Linked DNA regions of Oryzias latipes. The protein of the gene in region 3 purifies or fractionates together with the protein of the main gene of each other region. This does not show direct contact. Links are inferred from orthologs where the notes say so. Each region holds a gene or a part of one and is shown on either strand. Other genes may lie near its edges.

The links.
Region 1: the proteins of exoc6 (region 3) and exoc8 purify together in Homo sapiens (affinity purification with mass spectrometry; 4 studies listed by BioGRID and IntAct, counting the BioPlex papers as one, with this or other methods). This does not show direct contact. The link is inferred for Oryzias latipes from reciprocal best matches to the Homo sapiens genes EXOC6 and EXOC8.
Region 2: the proteins of exoc6 (region 3) and exoc1 purify together in Homo sapiens (affinity purification with mass spectrometry; 4 studies listed by BioGRID and IntAct, counting the BioPlex papers as one, with this or other methods). This does not show direct contact. The link is inferred for Oryzias latipes from reciprocal best matches to the Homo sapiens genes EXOC6 and EXOC1.
Region 4: the proteins of exoc6 (region 3) and exoc3 purify together in Homo sapiens (affinity purification with mass spectrometry; 6 studies listed by BioGRID and IntAct, counting the BioPlex papers as one, with this or other methods). This does not show direct contact. The link is inferred for Oryzias latipes from reciprocal best matches to the Homo sapiens genes EXOC6 and EXOC3.

What each region holds. Positions count from the first base shown.
Region 1 is NC_019882.2:17,525,230-17,530,244, reverse strand, and holds the start of exoc8 (exocyst complex component 8), read left to right. Parts: upstream 1-1,855; 5' UTR 1,856-1,982; coding exon 1,983-3,132; intron 3,133-5,015. Other genes in the region: sprtn (sprT-like domain-containing protein Spartan), read right to left, coding at 49-148, 590-909. UniProt on the Homo sapiens protein: Component of the exocyst complex involved in the docking of exocytic vesicles with fusion sites on the plasma membrane.
Region 2 is NC_019862.2:97,329-101,820, forward strand, and holds part of exoc1 (exocyst complex component 1), read right to left. Parts: intron 4,430-4,492; coding exon 4,297-4,429; intron 4,212-4,296; coding exon 4,102-4,211; intron 1-4,101.
Region 3 is NC_019877.2:23,115,274-23,120,446, forward strand, and holds the start of exoc6 (exocyst complex component 6), read left to right. Parts: upstream 1-1,737; 5' UTR 1,738-1,799; coding exon 1,800-1,939; exon of another isoform or gene 1,940-1,992; intron 1,993-3,072; exon of another isoform or gene 3,073-3,097; coding exon of another isoform or gene 3,098-3,195; exon of another isoform or gene 3,196-3,616; intron 3,617-5,173. UniProt on the Homo sapiens protein: Component of the exocyst complex involved in the docking of exocytic vesicles with fusion sites on the plasma membrane.
Region 4 is NC_019875.2:5,014,580-5,017,846, forward strand, and holds the end of exoc3 (exocyst complex component 3), read left to right. Parts: intron 1-341; coding exon 342-464; intron 465-548; coding exon 549-710; intron 711-816; coding exon 817-938; intron 939-1,249; coding exon 1,250-1,445; 3' UTR 1,446-2,403; downstream 2,404-3,267. UniProt on the Homo sapiens protein: Component of the exocyst complex involved in the docking of exocytic vesicles with fusion sites on the plasma membrane.

The DNA.
Region 1 (5,015 bases), on a different chromosome or scaffold from region 3:
AAAAATGACTGATTTATTAGTAAAAACATATTGTAAAATCCCATCCACCTCCACTAGGTCTTTCCTGGGTCTGAGCTTCAGCAGAGGTTCACTGAGTCTGATGGAACACAGTCCACCTCGACCTTCATAGGAGCAAACGCCAGCACACCTGCAAGAGGAAACCAAAGAGAGTAGAAGCATTTTTTTAGACATAATTGCCATCACTGATCCAATGACATTACTTACACCCAAAATCTTCAATATAACCTTAAATTTATGTATCTATTTGCATTTATTCTATTTTATTTTATTATTTTATAAGCTGCTTGCACTGTGGGGCGAGAGGAAAGTAATTTAATCTGTGCTGTTAATCTGTATGTATGCTGCATACTTGACAATAAAGCTGACTTTGACTTATTGAGCTTTTTCTTCAAAATCTGTCCACTTTATTTGAGAAAAAAAAATTTTTTGCTTTCTCTAAAGCTTTTATTTCCCTGTTTCAACGTTTCCATTAAAAATCCATTGTGTTTTAGTTTTGATCTAAATCGGTGAGGTCAGTTTAGGCTCCGAAACAGCTTAAACCAAATGTCCAAAGTCAGAATAGACTCACAGGGTCATCCTGGGACTCCACTTGACCTCCACTCCGCTGAGTTTGCCCCAGAAGAACATGTCATTGAACTCCAAAAACATGGCTCTAACATCAGGGCTGGGATCCAGCATCTCCCAGGAATCATCCACGATGCTTAGCGGCCGCTCAACGCCGGAAGTTGGCTTTCTATCCCTGGCCCCACCGGCAAGCTCCACTTTCCGCTTTTTGCTGTTGTTTCCGAACTCCCCTTCGTTAAAACTTAGAGATGAAACCAGTGAAGATTCATATTCATGGTCAAACTGCTCCTGTAGCTGAACGGCGAGCAGAAAGTCCTCGTCCATCACTGCTGCTATTTTGCCATTTAGCTTTGGCTAACCCGAACTTCTAAAAACCAATCAGTGCGCCAGTTGTACTACATTTAGCAGTGTAAACTCATAAAGAAAAAAACGAATTTATGTCATCATTTTTTCGCAAAACGGACGCTTAAACATAAAAACGGAAACAATTTAATAAAAAAGAGTAAGAAGCTGGAGCCAACAACTTCCTGTCATCTTCCACAAACCTTCCGGTAATGTTTTATTTTATTTTTTTCACAATAAAACATATTAAAGTTTTTGTTCAAAGTATTTTGAATATCTAAACGTAGGCACGTATGTGTTTTCTTAGTATATTATTAATTGAAATTGAAAGCCGCGTAGCTTTTAAGGAAATTGTTTTTGCATCAATGCAATTTTACTCTGTCTTTTGGTCTAACCTGCTGTCAAGTTCCGCGAAGTCCCGTACGTGATTGTTTTTCAAATTAAAAAAATGAGTTATTAAAGGCGTTTTGGTCCCAAATATGGTTACTTAATCATTTTTGTCTATTATAATGATATGTTTTAAAATTAATTGTCTAAACTAAAACACTGTGATATATATATAACATGGGCACTTTTTTATGCTCAGTATATCAATATATATAGTAAAAAGAAAAATTCAATAGTTTAATTTGGGTAGCTTTGACGGTGATCTTTTTTTTATAATTCAATGTAATTATTTTGTATGCTTTGGTTACCACTTCCGGTAAAGATTGCAAGCATCGCTAGCACAAATATTAGCGATGGGTTCTGGGAACTTTAGTAAACATATATCTGATATTTAAATTAAATTATTCAATTGTTACAATTGAATAAAGTTTACGAATCATAATCAAAAATTTATATTATCTTATGCCTAAAGATAATCAAATAATTTTTTTACGATTTTATTTTTAAACTTTTTCTGATCACGTGACGTTCGGGTGTTGCTGCTTACAGCTTCCTGTTGGAGTGAAAGCGGATGTAAAAGGAGCTTCGATGCACTCGTCTTGTTCGTACATTTCATAGCCATTTTACTAATATTTCGCGTTCGTAAATAATTGCAAACACAGCTAAAGATGTCGGAAACAGGGAACCGGCTGCGGAAACTTCTCGAATCTCCCAATTTCGATCCGCAAACGTACGTCAAACAGCTGTCACAGCAGTCCGACGGCGACAGGGATCTGCAGGAGCATCGGCAAAAAATCCAAAACCTGGCCGACGAAACGGCCCAGAATTTGAAGAAAAATGTCTATAAGAACTACAGGCAGTTCATTGAAACCGCCAAAGAGATTTCCTACCTGGAGAGCGAGATGTACCAGCTGAGCCACATCCTGACGGAGCAGAAGAGCATCATGGAGAGCATCACCCAGGCCTTGCTGTCCACAGACAAGGATGAGACCTCCAAGGAGATGCAGGCTGCTTTCCCCAAAGAGACGGAGGAGGTGAAGCAGAGGGCGCTCACCTCTCTGCTGGAGAAAGTCGAAGGAGCCAAGAACATCATGGACATCCCGGGGAGGCACCTAGTCTACAACGGAGACCTTTTTGAGTTTGACGTGGACAACATGTCCCCCATCCAGAAGGTCCATGCTTTCCTCATGAACGACTGTCTGCTGATCGCCACCTGGCTGCCCAACCGCAGAGGCACCGTGAAGTACAAATACAGCGACCTGTACGACCTGGAGAGCTTCGCCGTGGTCAACGTCAAGGACAATCCCCCCATGAAGGACATGTTCAAGATCCTCATGTTCCCGGACAGCCGCATCTTCCAGGCAGAGAACAGCAAGGTCAAGAAGGAGTGGCTGGAGATCCTTGATGAAACCAAAAAGAACAAGGTGTCTAAGGACAGACACAAGAAGGAAGAGGAGGCTCCCACGTCCCCCATCAGATCTGAGGTGTCCACCAACCCTTTCGACCTGGAGGACGAGGACCCAGCAGATGCAGAGGAAAGCGCAGAACTTGGTATCGAGTGGATTCAGGAGCTCCCCGAGGACCTGGACGTGTGCATTGCCCAGAGGGACTTTGAGGGAGCCGTGGACCTGCTGGACAAACTGAACGAGTACCTGAAGGACCAGCCCTCCACTCAGAAGGTCAAGGAGTTGAGGTCCAAGGTGGACGAGCGGGTGCGACAGCTGACTGAGGTGCTGGTGTTCGAGCTGTCTCCGGATCGGTCACTCCGTGGTGGACCTAAAGCGACCCGACGTGCCGTGTCCCAGCTCATCAGACTAGGTCCTGGTTTGGTTCTTTTCTTAATTTCCAGAGAAACAGAGAAGAGATGATGTTTGACTAACTTCCAAAACATTTTCTTTAGTCCGTTAAAGCCAAAAAAAAGGCAACATTTTTAATTCAAACTTTTATTTAGGAGCATCAATGTCGTTTGTTTTGCAAAAAAAAAAAAAAGTGTTCAAAGCCCACTCTTCTGGATCTGTCAGGCGGGGAAGTGATGTTGAAAAAAAGTTTCTTTTAATTTAATTTTAGGTTTTGAAGGTCAACATTTTAAGGGACCAACCAGTGTAATCCTGCTTTACTCCTGTTTGGGGTAATGGGGTCACTGGAGCTAAACCAACAACTCTTCAGTGAAGGCGGGGTTCGCCCTGGACAGTTCGCCTTCCATCACAGGGCCACACAGAGACAAACAAGTTCACACATTCACACCTAAAGGTCAATTCAGAGTCACTAAAGCTTTAGCCACATGGACCTGTACGGGGGCTGACCTGTACAGGTGCCCTGGGTTTTTGGGTTGTCCAGGTCTGTGGAGGGGAGTAGAAAGTAGACCGGCCAGTTTAAGGCGCATCTTAACAGGAGCACAGGTGTGTCTTGCAGTTCCCTTGAAAATGGAACCTACCATTGTGTATGGTAAGCATATTGTGAAGTATTTGTAAGGCTAACATAAGTTACACGCACTGATAACATACGGGTGATGTTGCCGAACACCGCCCAAACTGCCACACTGTAGTCGTTATTAACCCTTGTGCTATCCAAGGCACTTTAACATTGGGAGTTGGGTCATCTAGACCCACTAGACAGTTCGCTGAACCTTTTTTCTTCAATGATTTGTGATCTTCACTGGTGTCCATGGATTACATGAAATCTTTCCACCTTTATCCACCTTTGTCATGGTAGGGAGAACATGTCAATGTAAGGGTGGGGTCATCTAAGACAGCACAAGGGTTAATGAGTGAGTACTGGTTCCTTACTGACTCCAAGCAAATGCTGACATGTAAGTGTCCGTAGGACAGGACACTCACACAAACTACACCATTATCATCAAATTTCTAATGCTACGTTAACACCAGGCTTGGAAATGCGTGTTTGAGTGACCACTTTCAATGAAAATTCTATGTAAGTGCTCACGTAAAAGCCCGTTTTGGGCCTCCGCGTTCAAAGCTCTCTCGTTGACGCGTCTCTACGCAGGTTTTTAGGTCAGTTTTCAGGCTCTACGTACAAAACACGCAATCGAACGTGTGCTGAAAGTTTAACTAGTTGTACTTTGACCAATCAAGGACTCTGATTTGGTAGTGAGGTATGAGTAGCATCCTTTTCAAAACACTGAATCTTGGAGGTGAAATACTAATTGCGGTTTGTGCCCGGCCAAAATTCTATGACACCAAGGCCTTCCTTTATCAAAATAGAGCTGTGAAAGAAAAAGCCTGGAGCAAGATTGGCACCGCTTCAACATTTCGCAGGAAGCATCTTATAACTGTGCGCTACTATCGGGTAGCGACAGTCCAGTATGAGCACGTATGCTGAAAGTGCGTTCAAGAACCCGCGTTCAGCGCCATGCATGCCCAGTGTGGAGTTAGCATAACAGTCAGGCTACACAGAAGGAGTGCGCACTTATCACTTGAACAGCACCGTGCGCAGGATTTGGGGGGGTAAAGAAAACTATAAAATACGTAGAACATGGCTGCGTCTCACCTACTTCACCCTTCCTTTCCCTTATGTTGTATAAGTATTCATTACCACCTGTTGCCTGCAGCATTCCCAAAGACAAAATGTGCAAGAGCACTTGGCTGTACAGCCCCACACAGGTTTGCCTATTTTTCTACCACAGGGCAGTTGTGTCCAAGGCTTTACCACCTGTGTGTATTACTGCAAAAACATGGACTCCA
Region 2 (4,492 bases), on a different chromosome or scaffold from region 3:
CTTTAAACCAACTAGTGTGAAATCTTTCATTCATTCAATCATGCAAACTATTAGTGCAAAGGTGAGCTAACACCTGTGCTCAGGTGAGTGTTTATGTTCTTCTAAAATGGATGGTGGAATGTGAAAAGAAGGAGGAGGAGCGCCCAGCCACCCCCACACCCAGACCCCCGCCGCAGCAGCAGCGGCAGCCGGAATTCCCCCAATGCCACACGGGAACAGGCAGGGAACAACCGCCCCCCGGGCGACCAAGACCGCCACCCAGGCCAGGGCCAGCAGGACCGCCGCGAGGCCCCCAGAGCCAGAGAGCAGGGAGGCGCAGAGGGAAAGAGAGCGCCGCCCCAGCCCAGCCAGGAAAGCAGCCCCCCGCCGCGCCGGAAGAGCCCAACGCAGGGCCCCACCGGAGAGGGACGCCCACAGCCCCAGACGAGCACCCCACCACCACCCAGGAGTTCCGGGCATCCCCCCGCCCCGACCCCAGGTACGAGCCAGGACCCCCCAAGGGAGACCCGCTCCGCACTCCAGGCAGCCACCCACCCGGCCCACGGTTGGTCCAGGTAGGAGCAAGGCAGGGGCCCGCCGCCCCCGCCCAGGAGGGGGGAACCCCGGGGAAAAAAGGGCGGCCCACAAGGGATGTTATAAATATGGCCCGACCAGGCTCGGCCATGTTGGAAGTTTGGCGGGGCCCAGCGCCCAGGGGCAAGGACCAGGACCCACCCCCCAGGGACACGAACACCCCCGGCTCAGGTGTAATATGAACCCCCCCACCGCATGCTTATATTATTGTTATGGTTATTATGAAGCGCCTGTTAGCTCATCATTTTATTTTTTATCCGTGTGGTCAGTGCTTTTTTGCGGCAGAACGAAACCGGAAGAATGGTTAGGTGAAGGCTAACATGCGCTAACAACAACATTTAGCCTGGATGAACATAAAATTGATGCAGGAAATGCCACAATCTGCAGCTTGGCTGAACGTAAATATGTGGGAATAACATAAGCCTTTCTTTTGTCAGGACACGACTAGAAACACAAATCCACGTGTTTGAACGGTTTCTAAGGACTGAGCGGCATTTTGCTTTGAAGAGCTCACACACTGCCAAAAAGCCGCTGTGTGAGATGGAGACGTGGTTCTCCTGAATTCGGCTGCTCGTTCACATAGTGCTGCGGGACAGATGGCAGTCTGTAGCCTCCCTCCCGTAACAAAGCATCCTCCCCGCCCCTCGAACACAAAAAATTAAGTCCGGCTGCGCTGCTCAGAGACACGGTTCGCTCCGTCCACCAGCAGCCGCGCCCCGCGTGCAGGGACTGGACGTCAGGGGGCACGAAGTGCTCTTCCCTGGTGCCCCCCTCGCGAGGGGTGTCGGAGAAGATAGGAAGGGAAAGACAAGGAGCCCGCGGGGCAAGGGCGGAGCGCAGAGGCGTCCGCGGAGCAACGGTGTGACACTGTTGTGGAAGGAAACTTCTAGCGCATGCCGCGCTGATAGGGGCGCTTTAAAGTCACTACTGCTCTCTTTTACTGGTATGTTTTATTAACCAGCCCCTTTACTACCATATTGCTGCCGCGGAAGGAGATAGGAGCTGCTCTCCCGTTCTCCCCTCCTTCCGTTGCAGCTCCCTCCTCTTTTTTAAACATGCACGCGGTTTCAGCACATATACAGTGAGGTCAATAAGTATTTGATTACCCTGTGATTTAGAAAGTTCTCCCACGTTCTCCCAGAAAACATGGAGGGGTCTAAAATTTTTATCATAGGTGCATTTCCACAGTGAGAGACAGAATCTGAAAAAACATTCAGAAATCATGTTGTACAATTTTTTTAAACAATTTATTTGTACATTACTGTGACAAATAAGTATTTGATCACTTGGGTTAAACAACTTTAATATTTGGTACAGAAGCCTTTGTTAACAATTACAGAGGTCAAACGGTTCCTGTAGTTCTTCACTAGGTTTCTACACACTGCAGCAGGGATTTTGGCCCACTCCTCCACACAGATCTTCTCTAGATCTGTCAGGGTTCGGGGCTGTCGCAGAGCAACACGGAGTTTCAGCTCCCTCCAAAGGTTCTCTATTGGATTTAGGTCTGGAGACTGGCTAAGCCACTCCAGAACCTTAATATGCTTCTTACGGAGCCACTCCTTGGTTTTCTTGGCTGTGTGCTTCGGGTCATTGTCATTCTGAAAGACCCAGCCATGACCCATCTACAACGCTCTGACTGAGGTAAGGAGCTTTTTTCTCAATATCTCACAATACAGAGCCCAGTTCATCCTCTCCTTCACACAGTGCAGTCGTCCTGTCCCCTGTGCAGATGATACTTCCACCCCCGTGCTTCACTGTAGGTATAGTGTTCTTGGGATGATGCTCCTCCTTTCTCCTCCAAACACGCCGAATGGAGTTAAGACCAAAAAGTTCTATTTTGATATGCTTCTTACAAGGCTTCTTACTGACCACAAGACTTTCTCCCATGACTCCTCTGGATCATCAAGATGGTCATTGGCAAACTTCAGACGGGGCTTGACATGGGCTGACTTCAGCAGGGGAACCTTCCATGCGATACATGATTTTAAACCATGACGTTTTAATGTATTACTTATAGTAGCCTTGGAAACGGTGGTCCCACCTCTCTTCAGGTCATTGACCAGCTCCTCCTGTGTAGTCCTGGGCTGATTCTTCCCCTTCCTTAGCATCATCGATACCCCACAAGGTGAGATCTTGCAAGGGGCCCCAGTCCGAGGGACATTGACAGTCATCATTAGCCTCTTCCATTTTCTGACAATTGCTCCAACAGTTGTTCTTTTCTCACCAAGCTGCTTGGCAATTGCCCCGTAGCCACTTCCAGCTTTATGAAGGTCTACAATTTTATCTCTTGCGTCTTATGACAGCTCTTTGGTTTTGCCCATGTTGATAGTTAGACTTCTGACTGATTGTGGGGGGGGGCACAGGTGCCTTTATGCAAGCTAACCACCTCAAACAGGTGCCACTAATTTAGAATCATGAGCAGAGTGGAGTTGGACTATTTAAAAGCAGAACAGCAGGTCTTTGCTGATCAGAAATCTATCTGATAATCAAGTGATCAAATACTTATTTTTCACAGTAATATACAAATAAATCGTTTAAAAAAAAATCATACAACGTGATTTCTGAATGTTTCTTCAGATTCTGTCTCTCACTGTGGAAATGCACCTATGATGAAAATTTTAGACCCCTCCATGTTTTCTAAGAGGGAGAACTTGCTAAATCACAGGGTGATCAAATACTTATTGACCTCACTGTACATCCTCAATCTACAACACAGTGTGGCGACCTGAGGGATAGCCCCACCTTAAGCCCCCAAGACTCATGGGAAGTGAGTAATGACCATTTTGTTGTTCAGTTATTTAATTTGTCCAATTACTTACCAGCCCATGAAATGAAGGGATTGTGTTTAGAAAATGCTTTAGTTTTTCACATCTATGTCAACATATTTATGGTCCTGACTGTAGGTGGATTGATGGTCATGTTCATGTATTTTATACCAATTGCAGTTGTCACCTTAACCCCCAGCTTCTTGCTGATGGTTCTGCAAATCATTCTGGTCTTGTGCAAGAGTACAATCGTCGCCCTTTAATCCACTGAAAGCTCTTTAGTGTTTCCCATGTTGGAGAGTTTGGAGTCTGACTAATGGACTGATTCTGTGGACAGGCGTCTTCAATTCAGGTAACAGGTTGATTAAGCGAATCTAATTGGTCTGTGCGAAACAGAACTCTTAATGGTTACTTGGGCATCAAATACCGTACTTATTTCCCTCAGTGAAATGCAAATAAATGCATATTAATTCATTAAAGACATTTTCAATTTCTCACTGTTCAAATGAACCTATCATTAGGATGACAGGCTGTCTATTTTTAAGTAAGCAAACCTTCAAAATCAGCAAGGTATCAAAAAAGTATTTCCTCCATGATTATTTTAAAAAGAAAAGTTCGTACTTGAATTTTTTTTACATGGAAATACAACATTAAATCCACATCTCATAGCAGCTTTTAGATGTCTCTGACTGTATTCTTCCTTTTTTTGTAAACCTCAGCAGAAGTACTGGTAAAGAAGTTCTAATAATGGCGAGTGTGTTACCTGGTGGACAAACACGTTGTTGAGGTGATTGGTGAGGCGGCGGGCAAATGTGTCCCTCAGATCGGTAAACATCTGCTGCTGTTGTTTCACAGACAACAGCTTTTCATGGCCTGAACAGAGAAAGGTGCACAACTTTCCATTCAAACGAAGACAAAAAACAGACGATCACGATAACAAGGCTTCATGTAAATTTACCTGGTCGGAGGGCAACATTCATGCACTGCAGAAGGGCTTCAGAGGCGTTGATGCAGGCCTCAATTCCTTTAGAGGAGGTGAGGTCCCCATCCTGCAGAGCTCTGATGTGTCCCTTAGACAAGTCCATGTAATTCTGCATGAAAAAGTGAGTCAAAGCCCATCTGAGAAACTCAAGCTCAATTCTCTGACACCTCTG
Region 3 (5,173 bases):
GGAAAAAACGTATCAAGGAGAACAAAAGGTAAGAATGTAGCAGGAGCTGGGGCTTCCTGAAGGTGAATCTGATCCCTAAAACCACTGTTGTGTTTGCCCTGTTTGTGCTTTGAATGATGTAATAGGGGAAATCATAGCAGAGGCTTCATTTTCTATTGCCGCCTCCACACGGCCCACCCCATTTGCAGAACAATAGCAGGAAACTGAAAGTGATTGTGTCAGGCGGCCTCTTCCCCTGCTCAACTTCAGGAACGTCTGCATCAGCCGTTCTTCATCCACTGTTCTTAACACAGCACGGTCTTCACCTGGGACTTCATTACCAATGGAGTACTTCACCGCATGATAGATGAAAACAGCTTTTCAGCTTTTTGACTAAACAGACCGACATGTTTTTGCGAGGTTTGTGTTTAGGTTGACACAAAGTGTTCAGCAGGTTAATTCAGAACTGAATGCGTTTGATCATGTTTGACATAAAGAGGAGCAGCCCTTCAACCATTGACTGTATGTGAGAACTGGACTGAGTAATCATGTAAATGATAATCCAACTTTTCTTCCTATTTTTTTGACACATTTAGAGTTATTCAAGTTATAAACTGACCAATCAGATGCCTCAATAAAAGTCGGTGGTGCCTGCTGGCTCCCATGAACATTTGATTGACAGATTTCGTGTCGCCCTCTTTAAAGACCCACTCCAATGAAAATTGTGTTTTTGGTGTTTTAACGTGTTGCAGCATTTTTCTCACCATGGAGGACAAATACAAAAATTTGTTGACATTTGAAGAAGATTAAGACTGTGTTTCTGAGTATTGATCAAAGTCGTGATGGATTCCGAGCAGATAAAAACCTGGTGTTCGAAAAACGCTACAATTTACAATAAGTAAAATGGGTGAACCACAGTCTTCCTGCTCTGCTCCAATCTGATCATCCACTGTCAGACAAATAGATCCATGAACGTCTTTGTTTTCCCGGTCTGAGCTGGAATCTGGATCAGAACCGGGCGGATGGATAGATCTGATATTGCTGCCATTTTTGTTGCACCACTAATGTTAACTTGAGGGTGTGAGTGGCTGTAAGCTAGCAGGGGAGCATGTAAACAAAGGAATGATGGGATATCAGCTGTTCTTGCCCACAACTCAGAGGTGAATTTCTGATGAACTCCTGCCGCTCTACAGAAACTATGTCCTAGAAAACAACACAGGCTTTTGAATTTTGTCTAAAAGCGACATCATCTTATCTAAAAGACCACTGGGAACGCTTTTACAGTAGAGGAAAGATGATTATGGGACTTTAAAGTGGCAGGGATGTGGACGTCTAACAAGCTCACTCCTGATTGGCCAGAGTGGTTTCCATAGAAACGTTGACTCCGACCGTCTCAACTACATCTGGCTACGAAGTGGCAGCGTCTATATCATGAAACAATGGCGACTGAATTGACTTTGTTTTTGTTTTGGACAAACATCAAGTATGGTCTCTTCAAGTTGCTGTTGTGGATGTGCAACTAATGCACTTGATGCATTAGTTGCTGGGAGAGAAACCTAAAAGAAACCTCATCTGCACAGTCAGAGAGTTTTCTTGGTCCCTCCTGCATCTGCAGCCCGAGGACACAACGGCTGACTTTTATTGTGCTGGTTTCCAAAGTCCAGAGAATCACAAGATCTCTTTCCTGTTGCACCCTCTTTTTCTGCTGACCATAGCAGGTGGCCTGGAATTCACCTCCCAACCACACACACACACACACACACACACACACGGACCACAACGGGTCACATGCCGTCCTCATCACTTCAGTTGTGGTGAAGATGGACACCGACAGGCTCCACGCTGCTTTACCTGAGCCTCCAAGCCAAAATGAAGAAGACAATAAAGGTGAAGAGAAGATCTTCGGGAATATCTTTGCTGAGCTGGAGTCGGTGGACTTGCCTTTGGGAACCACTTTAAGGTGCTGACTTCAGAGATACTGCATGTCTGAATGCACGAAAGCAGCGGCTGATCCTGTGTTAATATCACAGAGAATTTTCGTCATGCGTGGAAATCTGTGAACTTACAAGGATAAATAACTTTTGTTTTGTAAGAGGCAAAATTAGCATTTTTTGTGCACCAATTAGTATTTCCTTGTCACATTTTTTAAGGCAAGGCAAGGCAAGTTTATTTGTATAGCACAATTCGTACACAAAGTAATTCAAAGTGCTTCACAAAACAGAAAAATGCATTAAAATCACAATACATCATAGAAATAATCAACATAAAATTTACTTTAAAAGAAAAGGAAGAAAAAAAAAAAGATTTAAAAAGAAAGGAAGGAAAGAAAGGTAGATAGGACCTTAAGCATTTTGTGTGCACAGTTTAGCCTTTTGTGTGCACAACTTAGCATTTCCAAAGGCACAATTTCATATTTTGTGTGCAAAAATGAGATTTTATACAAAAATGAGTATTATGTCGTCACATTTGTTTTAGCATTATGTGTGCACAAATTTGTATTTGTTGGCACGAATTAGTAGGAATTGATTGTGCAGAAATTAGTCATTTGTGCCCACAAAATACTAAATTGTATCAACAAAATGTTAATTTGTGCATACGAAATGATAATTAGTGTCAACATAATACAAATTGGTGCCTGCAAAATGTCTATTTGCAGCCACAAAATACTAATTTGTGACTAAAAAATGCAAAGTTGTGGGCCACAAATAATTAACTTCTTTTTTCTTCCTTCCAATTTTTGGAATGCCATGTCCAGGGCTCTGCACATTATTGTTAATATAAAGAAACTACAAGGCAGCATTAATTTGTAAAAGTAAGGTTAGTCTTGCAGACTACATGGAAGTCTGCTCAATGTTAGCAAATTTTATTTTTTAATACCTTTATCAATTAAAAAATTAACAAAGGCAGATAGACACTAATAACCGACATGATCAATGAGGAAACTCTTTTCAGAAAATTGTTCACATCATTTAATGACCCACACTAACAACTTAGGACAGTGGTCGCTGTATGAGCCGCGCAGGCGGCTGCGACCATCTGCTCTGCGCAGGTGCAGCTCTCCGGCGGCTGCACCTGCGCAGAGCAGCGGCCGCGCTGACCTCCGCTCTCCACAACAATCATGGCGGAGGCTGACATCCCGGAGTGTATAACGGAGCACGAGCGGATCTTACAGGAAATCGAGAGCACAGACACGGCCTGCGTGGGGCCCACTCTTCGGTAAGGATGATGCTCTGCTCCGTGAACCCGAGTCCCTGAAAACGACTGCATTTCGTCGCAGTTCGTTTATTTCCGCTGTAAACAGCAGAGCAGCCCGCGTCGGCTAACGCTAGCAGAGGTGGCTAGCATGTCAGCTGCAGGCTGATGCTAGCAGCAGCTAGCTGCGACTCGGCTTCTTTCATGGTCCAAACCTCCGCAGCAGAAGCATTCTCAGGGTTCTGTCTGCTTCCGGTCCTTTTAGGACAGGAGCGGCTGCGGATCCTCCCCGTTCGGCGCTTCTGCTGTCGGCGGCTAACGGCTAACTCAGCATTTCAGTGAACGAACCGAGCCCCCTGACCCCCCCGCCGCTCTAGTTCTGATGTTTTTGGTTATGTGGGGGAGGCAGGGGGGCACAGCTGACTGGCGTGGGTGTGTGTGTGTGTGGGGGGGGGGCTGGTCCGGCCACGGGAGGGGCCTGCATGAATGGCAGCAGCTGTCAATCACCCTGGCCTTTAAACGTAGCTTCAGGCGCTGGTTTCTGTCGGAGGACGTGAAGCATCCGAGCTGCGTTTGTTCGTTACTCCTCTTATTCCAGTTACTCCACACTGAGAGAGTTCAGCTCAGGTGTTTTTAGGTGGCGACAGGTGTAGCCTTCAAGTCCCACCCACCCGCAGTCATCCTTTGATCTATTTCCAGGTGTTCCAGCGGTCTTTTCATGAGGATGATGCTGTTTTTAGCCGAAATCTAGGACCTAGTTTCTGCAGAGCGGCAGGAGCTCTTTAGAAATTCACCTCTGAGTTGTGGGCGGGTCTGTTGGCGCAAAACAGCCCCGCCCCCTTCCGCTCCCTGTTGGGAGGGGAGGAGGGAGCGTTTTATGTCTACGTCACAACTACAGGTTTTCTGCTCCCGATTTGCAGCTATTTGAACAAAGAATACATAAAGGTTGAGCTGAATTTCGACTTGACTTATTGATTTATTTCAAGCAAAAATAGTAGAGTATAATAGAAAAAAATCACCGATTTATCAAGCTCATCTTTAGAAATAAAGAGCTGCATGGATTAATAAAACAAAGAAAAATGAGTCTGAATGAGAATCCTAAAAAAATAAACGCCACAATGTCATATTAAAAGCAGCAAAAGCACCATTGTCATTGGAGTGGGTCTGTAACAATCAAGGTCATGTTTGAAAAACGAACAAATTGTCAATTGAGTCATGAAAAAGATTTGTTTAGAAAAATCTTCTTCCAATTGTGATGTTATAGCAGATTTTCAATCATCCACATCAATTCTACATTTATTATAACTAGGCGCGGAATGGTTTTTGCGTTTTCCAATCCGACATCCCCCTAACACAAAATCCTACATGTAGACGGGAACTTGAAGATTGCTTTATCGTCAAACTAAACCTTTTGAAGGTTTTGAGCTTCCTGTCTAATTGCTGGAGCCTCAGGTAAAGAAAGCACCTCCATGCTGTGGTCAACATCATCAATTTCTTCCTAATAATGAAAGGTTCTTGAGAAAAACACAGTCTAGAAGGCTTTCAATTTAATTTCTGAATTTAGAACAATTATAATCAGCGCAAAGCAAAGCAGGCTGTTGAGGACTCCCCTTCATGTTAGTGGGAGATGTCTCCTTTAAAAGGAGGTTCCTCGCCGGGACGTTTGGGAAAGTTGTTTTCTTGACCTTCAACGTCGGATCGTGCTGTTCAGTCGACACCAGAATCTCTGGTGGCTTCAAACTTTTCAGTCGGGGGACAGTTCAGCTGCTTTAATCTGTGGTTTCAGATGAAACTGCTGGTCTTCTGTAAACCTGGTGTAACAGCAGAGTTACTCTTGAGCTTCATGAAGCTGATTGGACAACATGAATGGATTATTTTCCCCAAAGCAGCATCTGAGGAGCCACAAAAAGACGTGTTTGTGTTTTTAACATCTATGCAGATGGTTGGAAAGTAAAAGCCATGGCAGATGAAGAGATGATTTTCCATTTCTCTTGGTGGAAAT
Region 4 (3,267 bases), on a different chromosome or scaffold from region 3:
AATCATCTTGTTCTCCTGATGCTCTTATTTTCTCCGTCCTCATTTGTGCTTAAGAGAACTTCATCATCTCCATTTCTGCTGAACACACTTGATCCAGATAGTTAGCTGCAGGCTGTGCAGGGAGGGCTGGGTAACAGAAGTGGATCTGGAGGACCAGGATTCAGCAGTCCTAGCCTTCATCCCTCTTTGTTCCTCTTCACTTCTTTCCTCCCAAAACTCTCTTTGTTTACTCGGACATGTCAAACGTTAGAAGTATGAGGGCTACGGGGCAGAGAAACGCCTGAGACCTATGTGGTCAGAGCAGTCCCGGTCCACTAAACTGTTCCGGTTCTGTTGAACAGCATCACCTGAACGAGCTCCTGACCCGGAAGTGGCTGAGCGGCTCTCATGCTGTGGACACCATCTGTGTGACGGTGGAGGACTATTTCAACGACTTCAATAAAATCAAAAAGCCCTTCAACCAGGTACAGTGAGACCGGGTTTTAAAAACGCAGACCCCCCTCCTGCAGGAGACTGTTAGCATGGCTGCCGCCTGCGTTTTTCTGCAGGAGATGACGAAGGAGGCGCTGCGGAGGGTGGTGGTGGAGTACATCAAAGCAGTGATGCAGAAGAGGATGAGCTTCAAAAACGCTGATGAGAGGAGGGAGGGCGCAGAGAGGATGATCAGGGAAGCCGACCAGTTCAGTTTCCTCTTCAGGAAGCTGGCGGCGGTGAGTTTCTCTCTTTCACTGCACCGGTCGCACTTAGGAGCCACCAAACCCCCACCCCCCCACCCCCCAGAGCGCTGCACAGTTGGTCAACTTCTGCCTGCTGCAGGGCGAAGACACAGAGCGTCTGTGCGGCGCCATCACCGCCATCGCTGAGGTGTTTAAGCTGACCGATCCCACGCTCCTGTTCCTGGAAGTCACCACGCTGGTGTCCAAATACCCCGATATCAGGTGAGGTGTGACACAGCAGAGGCATCACTCCTGAAGGCACAGTGTGACAATGATGCAGTTATTGAGAGCAAAAATGACCATTATGTCAAGTTTGACTATAGATCAGTGGAAATTTTCAATATAAATACATATGCACACAAATTGTCTCCAAACATGACATTCCTCCAGCTTTAAGGGTTCATTTCAGTTGAATTTGGTCAGTCTGAGTTGATCATTCAGAAATGAAGCCTGTGTGTGTGCGCCACCTGCAGCAGTTGTGTTGGGCAGGTGAGGCAGCTCTTCTTCTTCTTCTTCTGTCCCCTCTGCTGCAGGGAGGACCACATCCAGGCGCTGCTCACCGTTCGAGGCGACGCCAGCAGAGAGATGCGGCAGATGATCATCGGGACTCTGAGCGAGAACAAGGTGGCCAGCTCTGCCGCTTCGCAGCCCATCTTCAGAGACATTCCTGTCCCCACCATGTCCATGACCTCCATGACCTCCATGGCAACTTCAAAGCTGCTCAAATAAAGCGGGAACCACCTCTTGAATCTTCTCCCTCCACATTTGATTTCAGGTTTTTCTTCTCATTTGTGCTTCAGCATCTATAAACCCAGAGCTGTAAACATAACTGCAGGGTTTCAGGTTTCAGATGACTGAGCTGCAGGTAGGACGTTTCAAAGGTTCGGTCCTGCTTGTGACCATGCCCAATGTCATTTTCTCATGGTGAAGTGACTGAAGCAAGCCCCCATCTGAGGCACCATTGCCTAAGCTCCGGTTCAGTCTACAGCAGCTTGACTCTTTCAGTTTTTGAATGTTTGGTTTGATCCGGTAAAGTCCATCACAGGGTTTTTGACCGCCATTTTTTATTAATTTCAATGTTCGTTATGAAGAAACGGGGAATGTTTACACTAATCTTCCGCTGATGAGGGATTGAAACATTTTCAGTTCAAAGGAAGATGCAGTGTAGATGCATGATGACCACTGGACAAACAGAAAAACCTGGATTGGTGGGGGCAGCATGATGATAAGGGGGGCATCAGTGGAGATGGGATATTGTCACTACAAACAGATGTCAGGACCTAAAAACTCCACAGGCTGGGACTGTATCCTCAAGATGCAACATGCACCCAAAAAAAAAACTACACGCGTGGCTTAATTTTTGACTTAAAAATATAATTATTTTATCAAATACAGTGTCACATATTTGTAAGATTTTTAAAAAACTGAAAATAAATGTGTGCCTCTTTTCTTTTGAAGTTTAAATATCCAAAAATGTTAATGTCTAGTTATATTTTTGCTTTGTCAGTTTGGGTTTCACAAAACGACATGTCATTGCATAAACATTTGTCACTTTCTTAGACTTAAGTAACTTAATACGGTTACTGACTTTGAAATCACTTGAATTAATGAGTTGGGTGGTAATTTAAAAACAATGTAAAATACTTGGGATGTTTGATTGCAAAATAAAAATTAGATTGAAAATTGAGTTTCTATGACTAAGTTGTTTATTACCGACAACCCGCTGTTTTTAAGCAGAAATGTCGCTGTTTAAAGGTGGTGTGTCACCGAGTCTCCGGTAGGGGGCAGCAGAGCCCAGCGCGGACGTGACTGCAGAGAAGAAGAAGAACAAGGGAGCCCTGGACGCCGTGTTTTATTTGGATCGTCTGCAGATTTGTGGACATGACTGACCCAGTTCGGCTTTAGTAGCAGTTCGGACCCAAACATTAACCGTCCGTCACATCAGCATCGCCTTTCGCCGCTGACAGACCGGGTATGGACTTTTGACAGCGTTTCATGCTAACTCGTGCTGAGCTGTGCTAAGCTAATTTTGCGGGCGGAGGACGAGAACCGCGGCAGAGACCAGAACCGATCTCAGATCTGGTTTCTGACGCCAACGGCCGTTTGCTCGGTCAAGGTGAGAGACCTGAGACCAGGGACCCGTTTTGAGTCCAGGGACCAGATCTCAGACCAGAGGCCAGAACAGGAACCAGCTCTGAGTTTAGACAAAGATCTGAGACCAAGCAGATCCCAGTCCAGGGGCCAGAGTCCGGTCTGATTAGCGACAGGTCTTCCTCAGAGCGTCGCTGCTGCTTTGGCCCCAGCTCAGACTAGTAAACAGGTTCTCCTGATCCCGGATCAGGCCCAGCAGGCTGTCAGGAAGCTGACCACCAGCGTCCTTGGCCTCCTCCTGCAGGACCTGGTCTGCTGTCTCCTCCTCTGCCCACATTCACCTCTTCACTTTGAGTGTTTGATCTTCCAAACTGCTGCTCCTCTGCCCCCGCTCTCTGATGCTTGCTGACCACGCCCTCTTCTTCCATATGACTCCTCCCCCGTTTCTTCCATGTGCAGG